2 linked regions of the Cricetulus griseus genome follow. The protein of the gene in region 1 purifies or fractionates together with the protein of each later gene. This does not show direct contact. Links are inferred from orthologs where the notes say so. Each region holds a gene or a part of one and is shown in the gene's direction. Other genes may lie near its edges. The genes, in order: Nufip1 and Znhit6.

Region 1 (3,810 bases):
TTTAGATTTAAATTTTGTTTCTCGTGTCTGACTTTTGCTATATTGCTAACAAATAAAAGAATCCCTCACCCCAGAGTATGTTTTAAATCAAGTATGTATTCCTGGAATAAGTTGTGTTTGGTTGAGCAGAGATTTTTTTGTACCACAGTCTTACTGCTTTTTTTTGTTGTTTGTTTGCAGAAAAGAAAGGAACCGGTTTTCCACTTTTTCTGTGATACCTGTGATCGTGGCTTTAAAAATCAAGAAAAATATGACATACATATGTCTGAACATACAAAAGTAGGTTCCTGGTTGTTCTGAACCAATGTAGTAAAGGCCTCTTATTTGTATTTTTGGTGAAAGTGCCAAATTTATTTTCCTCATAAGTTTGTAGTTTTTACAGAAAGAAATGTTTGATAACTTGACACATAGGGACAGGGCCTGGGATTTGGAGTTTGGGGGTGGGGAGCCCACTGCTGCATGGAGAGGAGGAGCTGTGGCAGCCTCTGTGTCTGTGCCCCTCCATGGCTACATGAGAGGAGAGCTGGGCCTCCCCTGCAATCACCTTGAGTGCCTCTGAGCACTTTCCCTCTTCTACTGTCTTGATCTACAGCTCACTGTGTGATTTGTCTTAGTGTGCTGTTCTCTAAATATAACCCAGATGATTTAAAAATGTTAAGCCATTTAGAACGTTTGAAAGTTTGTTTTTTAAGGAAAACTCTTGTTTTGGAAACATCGTTTGCAGGAATGCCTCCCCTTTAGGAATTAGGAATGTTCCACTCAATGAAAGAGGAAATGGGAGTGACTGTGCTGCTCATCTCAAAGATGCCATTTCCTTCTAAGTGCAGCTGTTTCAGAGGGATCTGTGTTTTGCTGTTGGACTAAGAATGAAGGAGTGATAGCACAGAATAATCACTGGCCGACCATAGTGTGTAGATCCCTGGTGGTGTGAACCATTAAATCATGGCCATCATTAAAGTGTCTTTTTGTTGTTAAACTTTTCAGTGCCCTGAAGCCGATTGCTCTTTCAGTGCACACGAGAAGATTGTCCAGTTTCACTGGAAAAATGTAAGTTCTTAATGACTTTTGACCTGTTGTAAATGTGTTCTCTGTGTATGCCAATAGTAATATTCATGCAGTGTTTTGTACTTTGTAAGGAAGTTTTACATCTCTTACTCTATTTTAGTCTTAAACCATGCAAAATAGATAGCTATTAGGTCCTCCTACAGATCGAGAAGAATGACTTACCTACCCAGACCTGATTGTTGCAGTTGCAAGTTTTATGTTGGTTTGACCATGCCATGCTTCTTAAAATGACTGTGGCTGGGTGCTGACAAGATGGCTCAGCAGTTAAGAGCTTGCTCTGTTCCTCCAGAGGACTCAAGTTCAGTTCCCAGCACCCACACTGGACAGCATACAACTGCCTGTAACTCAGGCTTCGGGGATTCAGTGTCCTGGTATCTGAGGGCACTTTCATGCATACATGCACATAGAGACACACACACATGACACATGCATGCACAAACCAAAATAAACAAAAGACTTGTGAAAAAATGATCATGTCTACTAATTTTTTAATCTGTCACCTTCAGTTTTGCTTGATTAGTTGGTCACGGGAATTTAATGTCAATTGAGAAAATGGGTTATGCATCTATGTAATAAAACCTATGCTGCTTTCTCCCATAATTAGCATTGATCCAGCTACATGAGAAGCTTTTCCTTTGAGGGATAAGGCATAGTGAGAATGCTTGTTAGCTTAAAATATTTTCTGCTTGTAAGTTTCATGTTGGATACAATGTCGCATTTAGTTAAGAGCACACACTATGCTTCCTGATGTTCAGCAGGCTTTCTGCCCTTAGATGCATGCTCCTGGTATGAGGAAGATCAAGCTAGACACTCCAGAAGAGATTGCAAGGTGGAGGGAAGAAAGAAGAAAGTGAGTAAAGAGCTGCTAACTAATCAGTAACTTCCTTTGTCTGTGGCAAGACTAATGGCTGGCCAGCCGGTCCTGCTGAATATGAGAAGAGAAATGTGGTCTTTTATAGCGTTGTAGACATTTTCACTGAAAGTGACCCGGCTTGATTTTGTGTTCTTCAATAGTGGTACATTATAACTGAGAATAGTGTTAGTTGATGGTTTAAAAATCAGCATCTTTATTATATAGTGAAGTCCATCGAATTATTTCATAATGCTAACATGAAGAAAGAGAACTGTAACCTACATTATATTAGGCTATTGGGTATGGTTTGGGGGAGAGTTACAGGAACTTTGCATTTAAATAACAGATGTACCGTAACTATACGAACCCCGAAGAGTGCTAACATGCCACTTACTAGATATTCAGTGGCTGGGGGAATAATGAGCTTGTAATAATATTTAAATGTATAATACATTGTCATGTTTATATTTATTTATTTATTATTTGTTTAAACGCACGGCTGAATGACTGTTCTCTGCTAGGTAGAGTGGGTTTAGCAGTGAACAAGATGTCCATGTACGTGTCCTTACCTGTAAAAAATCCAGGAATTCATCCCTGTAATTAATGTTTAAGAGATGTGAGTGAGTCTTTACTGTGTTTCTTGTGGCTTTACATATATTAGCAGAGTTGATGTCTGGCTACAATGTACTTGTGAAAAATCTGCCTGGAACTCCATGTTACTGTCTTCTCACGTATTTGATCCTGTAGCAGAAGACTGAGGTAGAATTATTAGAATGATAAGGTGCACTTTGACAATCATTTAGTTTGTTTTCTGTTGCTTTGATAAAATACCCAGAAGCAACTTAGTGAAGAAAGTTCAGTGTGGCTTATGGGTCCAGAGAGTTAGAATCTATAATGGCAGGAATGACATGGCAGTGGGCAGCTGCAGCAGGAAGCCAGCTGATCACATTTTGTTGGTAAACCAGGAGACAGCTAAAATCAGGCAAGACTTAGCAACTCTGAAAGTCAGCTACCAGAGACGTACATCCTTCAACGTAAATGCTCCATAACCGTGAATCTCTGTAACCTCTTCAAACAACGCTGCACAAGTGTACATAGTTGAGTCTTAGGGGGACATTTTCAATCAAACCACCACAGTACTTTTTTCCTAGAATTAACAAGAAGGAAAGTCAGATATGGAAAAAAAAACAAGAGGTTATCTGTTTTGATTTATTTATTTATTTATTTATTTATTTATTTATTTATTTGAGATAGGGTTTCTCTGTGTAGCCCTGGCTGTCCTGGAACTCACTTTGTAGACCAGGCTGGCTTACATAGATCATCATGCCTCTGCTTCCCAAGTGCTGGGATTAAAGGTGTACACCACCATTGCCTGGCTTTAAATTTTTTCTTTATTTTGTAGCATTGGGTTTGAAATTAAGGCCTTGCTTATACTAGACAAGTATTCTGCCACTGTGCTACAATCCCTAGCTGTCTTTAATTAATTTTTTAAAATTATTATTTGTCTATTTTACTGGTATGTGTGTCTGTGCACCACATGTACTCAGTGTCTGAGGAGGCCAGAGAAGGCATTGGATCCCCTAGAACTGGACTTACTCATGGTTGTAAGCAACTTTGTATTTGCTGGGAATGGAACCTGGGTCCCCTGGAAGAGCAGCCAGTGTTCTTAACCATGGAACCATCTCTCCAGCCTCTCTTTTAAATTATTTTTAAAATGGACTCAAGGGACTCACTTCATCACTAAGGCTGATGTTGCCTCACTCGGTAGCCCAGGCTGAGTTTGAACTCCTGATCCTTTTCTGCATCCTTCTGAGTAGCCTGGCAAGAAGCTAGTCTTAAAGATACTTAAACTCTTTTGACCATAGAGCATAGCTTGTTGATACATCCATGAT
Region 2 (4,491 bases), on another chromosome or scaffold:
TTATTTGTAGGGTTATGGATGAAACTTGTGTGAATAACCCCAGTGTACTCACTAAGTTGGACTTCCCTGGAATCCTTACTTTGGTCTGTAGTTGGTCCCTCCCTGGGGCGAGTAGACATTTGCTCCCGTCTTCCCCAGAAATAGTGTCACACAACAGCATGTCCCAGTTCTTTACGGTCATTGGCCAGTGTGTCAATGATAGCACATGATAGCACAAGCTGGGTGACTTAAACAAAGATTGTTTTCATTTTCTCGAAATTCAAGAAGTTACTGAAGTCCAAGGCCAAGGGTTCAGAGGTTTCTCTTTTAGGCTACCTGGATTGGCAAACAGAAGGCTTATTTCTCGCCACACTCCAGGACTCCTTCTCTGTGAGCAAATTTGTATGCAAATTTCTTATTAAATGCGCCAGTCAGCTTGGATTCGGGCGCATTCTAATGACTTCATTTAAACCAGTGTGCTTTTAGGGGCCTTGTCTCCAAAATAAGGTCAGAATTGTGAGGTCCTGGGAGTTAAGGGCTTGAGCGCATGGATTTGAGGGGCTATTACTAGCCTGTGACCGGCGATTTCAGCTGCTGGCAGTAGTATGTGATCCCACGCATGGTTTCATGAAATCCTCGCGGGAGCAGATACGAGCATCTCTCTCCCCTCTCTCTCTCCTTTCCTTCCCTTCCCCCCACTTCCCGCGTGTTGTTTTTGAAACAGGGCCTCACTATGCAGCCCTGACTGTGCCAGCATTTACTCTGTAGACCGGGCTGGCCTTTAAGACACAGCGATCCCCCTGCCTCTGCCTCCCGCGTGCCGGGATTAAAGGCGGTTTCCCTTTTGTTTGTTTGGTTGGTTGGTGGTCGGTTCTTAAGACAGGGTTTCTCTGTGTAGTTTTGGAGCCAATCCTGGCACTCGCTCTGGAGACCAGGCTGGCCTCGAGCTCACAGCGATCCCCCTGCCTCTGCCTCCCGCGTGCCGGGATGGAAGGCGTGGCGGCCACCGCCCGAGCATAAAAGCGTCGTCTGGCGGCTGGCGTCTCCGTGACGAGAGCCAGGCCGCGGCCTGAGGCTGGCGGGCCCTCCGGCTGCAGACCCCGCTCTGCAGAAGCATCAGCGTGCAATTCCGCCTTGGGTGCAGCCACGGGCTCGCAGCGCAGCGGCGTCGCTGTGCGCCGGGGCCGGGCTCCCCCGCACCGGGACTGCACTGAAGGGTGGCGGGTGCGGAGGGAGGGCCGCGAACCGCTGCTGTCGCCCGGCTCCCTGGTCGGAGTCAGCCCTCAGCACACGGGAGAGCGGGTGCCCTCGTTGCAGACCGTCACTCGGAAGCCCGGGCGTGCTCGCTACGCAAAGCGGCTGAGCCGTAAAGAGCTCCGCGAGTCGTGAAGAGCCGCGGCCGGGGAGGGCTGCTTTACGGCGTGCGTGCGTGCGTGCGTGCGTGCGTGCGGGCGGGCGGGCGGAGCTCGGGGTCGCGCACGTGTGGCGCCGCCGGGGACCCCTGTGGCCGGCGGCGGGCGAGCGCCACGGTGAAGCGCGGCCTCGGCGTGCGAGCCGATGGAGCCTGCCGCGGGGGCGGAGGCGGCGAGCGCGGAGGAGGCGAAGGTGGACCTGGCGGTGGTGAAGCAGGAGGCGGGGGCCGAGGGCGGCCCGGCGCGCTGCCCCTGGGCGGTGAAGCCGGAGGCGGCGGGCGAGCCCCGCGTGAAGCTTGAGGAGGCGGGCGAGCCGCTGGTGAAGGAAGAGGCGGCGGGCGAGCCCGACGTGAAGGAGGAGAAGGTGAAGGTGAAGGAGGAGGTTCCGGACTGGGAAGAAGTGAAGGAGGAGGAGGAGGAGGGCGTGGACGTCAAACGGGAGCTGTTGGGGGGTCAGGACGTGAAGGAGGAGCAGCTGGTGGAGGCGGTGCGCGTCAAAGAAGAGGGCTCCCTCAAGACGGAAGGCTCGGATGGCCCGCGGGTGAAGGGGGAGCCTCGCATGAGCCCCCGAGGGGGCTGCAAGAGGAAGCTGGCCATGTCAAGGTAGGGCAGGGCCGGGCGCACACCCACCTGGAACCCAGAGCGTTGAGTGGACCCCGCCACCCAGCAGCAGGCGGTGAAGAGCACCAGTTAAACCAGGCACCAAGGGGGAGCCCCAAGTCTGAATGGTGGTGTTCGCTAGCACATTCTGGGACACTGCAGTGGCGGTGACCGACACGGTGTGGTCAGCTCAGGGGGCGTAAATCTGGGGACTGGAGACGTTTGTGGAACCAGAGCTTGTTAGCTGTGAAGCGATTGTGCAGGACTTGTGCCTATTGGAGAAACTAGGAATCAGGGGACATCTAATAAAAACCAACAATGAGAAAGTGAGTGGAGTTTAATAGACAGCCAGTCAGCTTGCTCTTGAACCTTTTCACGGCCCCCACGAATGTTTATTCCTGGATGTAGTTTCTTTAGTGTGCTCATGTGGTCCCACAGATCAAACTGTGAAGATTCTACCCCTGACAGCTTGGGCTGTCTGTTAAGAACAGACGAGTAACGCCATTTCTGGGTTTTCTCGGTGTCCTTTTGCAAAGGGAGGGCATACATTACGATGAAGTTTACCTGGGCCTCATCCTGTCTTGTTTTGCTTGTGTGTATGCTTTTAAAAATGTCCAGATGCAGCTTCTAGATACACACACAAAAATATCTCTGAATTGCAAATTTCAAAAATCACCGGTTCATGTTAATTTCTAATTACAGTAGAAAAGAAATCAAACAGACTATTTTTCATATATATTTTCTCGAATTGCCTTTCATTGTGTCATTTGCAAACATTTTCACAGTTTTCAATGACAGCTATAAAAGAATTGATCAGAGTCGCTGACATATGCTTTATTTGCTTTGACTACGTGCCTGTAAACTGTAAATAGGCTTGATTCAGCATTCAAAGGCTGTAAGTTCATGAGTAGAGTCAATTTTTGAGTATTAAGTCACAGGTGAATTTTACAGGTGTGAAACTTGTGGGACAGAAGAGGCAAAGTACAGATGTCCACGCTGCATGAGATATTCCTGCAGGTAGATATGTAACTTTCTACCTTATTCCTGACCTCTTCCCACTTACTTCAGATATAAAACTGCCTTCTGTTTGTCTCTGCAGTTTGCCCTGCGTAAAGAAGCACAAAGCAGAACTGACTTGTAATGGAGTCCGAGATAAAACCGCTTACATCTCACTACAGCAGTTTACGGAGATGAATCTCCTAAGTGGTAAGTCATTCTATGCACAACAGGTGACTGCTTTCTGGCCACTGGCATATGTCACTTGTTAATTTTTCCTTTCTGAAATTACTAGACTATCGGTTTTTGGAAGACGTGGCAAGAACTGCAGACCAGGTTTCAAGAGATACTTTCTTGAAAAGACCAAAGCGCAAAAAATACGTAAGGATTTCTTCTGATCTTTTCAAGTTAAAATTGCTTCCAATGTTTATTCATTTCTTGGATCTATCAAGTGGCCACCCTGACCTGGGACTGTACTGATTATTCAAGATAGATCCAAAGTTTACCCTGCGGAGTTTGTATTGTTAGTTAAGTGGAAGAGGCCGGATGTAGAAACAGCAAATATAATTTCTTACAGATTCAAGTGCATGTAGAAAATTGGGATGGGTCAAAAGAGTAAAGAAAACAAAGTAGTCTGTGAGGTCGTAAACTTCGGGGTATGATTGTCAACACAGTGGTAGAGATGAGCATCTCTGAGGACCAGTTAGACGTTGATCTTAATGGTGTGAAAGAGAGTAGGAGTCATTTGGAGGAAAACTCTTCTGGGTAGAGACCTGGACAGAAGTGGCACAAGCCTGTGACCCAGCACTTGGAGGAAGACATAGCAAGACTTTGACTCAAAAAGATGCAGGCTGAGAACTGGTGTGTATGTTTGGAGATTACAAGAGGCAGGATAACTGAAGCATAGTGAATGGGTAGGGATGCTAAATGGAGTTTAGGAAAAGTTGTAGAGTTCCCAAGCATGCTAAGTAAAGGGACCAAGGGAGACTGTGTGGTGCTGCCTTTAATACCCTCAGAAAGTCAAGAGGCAGGAGAGACTCTTGAGACAGGCCATGCAGGGCCCGGTATATGAGCCTTTTTTGTTTGTTTCCAGAGAGGATTTCTCTGTGTAGCTTTTGGAGTCTGTCCTAGAATGCTCTGGAGACCAGGCTGGCCTCAAACTCAGAGAGATCCACCTGCCTCTGCCTCCCAGTGCTGGGATTAAAGGCGTGCGCCACCACCGCCTGGCTAAAATAATTTTTTTTTAAAGGATGACTTGCTGCTTGGTTGGGGTCAGGGAACCACAGTGGAAGACTGAAGCATGAAGAACAGTTTCAGGAGTGTGTGTCAACGTGTGAGAGGTGGTGGTGGCTTGGGTATGCTGTTAGAAATAACTGGAAAGTAGTGTGATTCCAGTTTTGACAAAACAGTTAGCCGGGCCTTGTGTCCTGACATATTAGTTTTCAGATTCGTGCTTCCTTCAAACAATAGGAAAATTAAAGGTTACAACTGTGAGATATTTGGT

The links.
Region 2: the proteins of Nufip1 (region 1) and Znhit6 purify together in Homo sapiens (affinity purification with western blotting; 3 studies listed by BioGRID and IntAct, with this or other methods). This does not show direct contact. The link is inferred for Cricetulus griseus from reciprocal best matches to the Homo sapiens genes NUFIP1 and ZNHIT6.

Annotation. Positions count from the first base shown.
Region 1 is NW_023276807.1:230,510,078-230,513,887, forward strand, and holds part of Nufip1 (nuclear fragile X mental retardation-interacting protein 1), read left to right. Parts: intron 1-180; coding exon 181-279; intron 280-984; coding exon 985-1,047; intron 1,048-1,838; coding exon 1,839-1,915; intron 1,916-3,810. UniProt on the Homo sapiens protein: Binds RNA.
Region 2 is NW_023276806.1:13,622,327-13,626,817, reverse strand, and holds the start of Znhit6 (box C/D snoRNA protein 1), read left to right. Parts: upstream 1-1,436; 5' UTR 1,437-1,536; coding exon 1,537-1,994; intron 1,995-2,942; coding exon 2,943-3,008; intron 3,009-3,090; coding exon 3,091-3,197; intron 3,198-3,282; coding exon 3,283-3,368; intron 3,369-4,491. UniProt on the Homo sapiens protein: Required for box C/D snoRNAs accumulation involved in snoRNA processing, snoRNA transport to the nucleolus and ribosome biogenesis.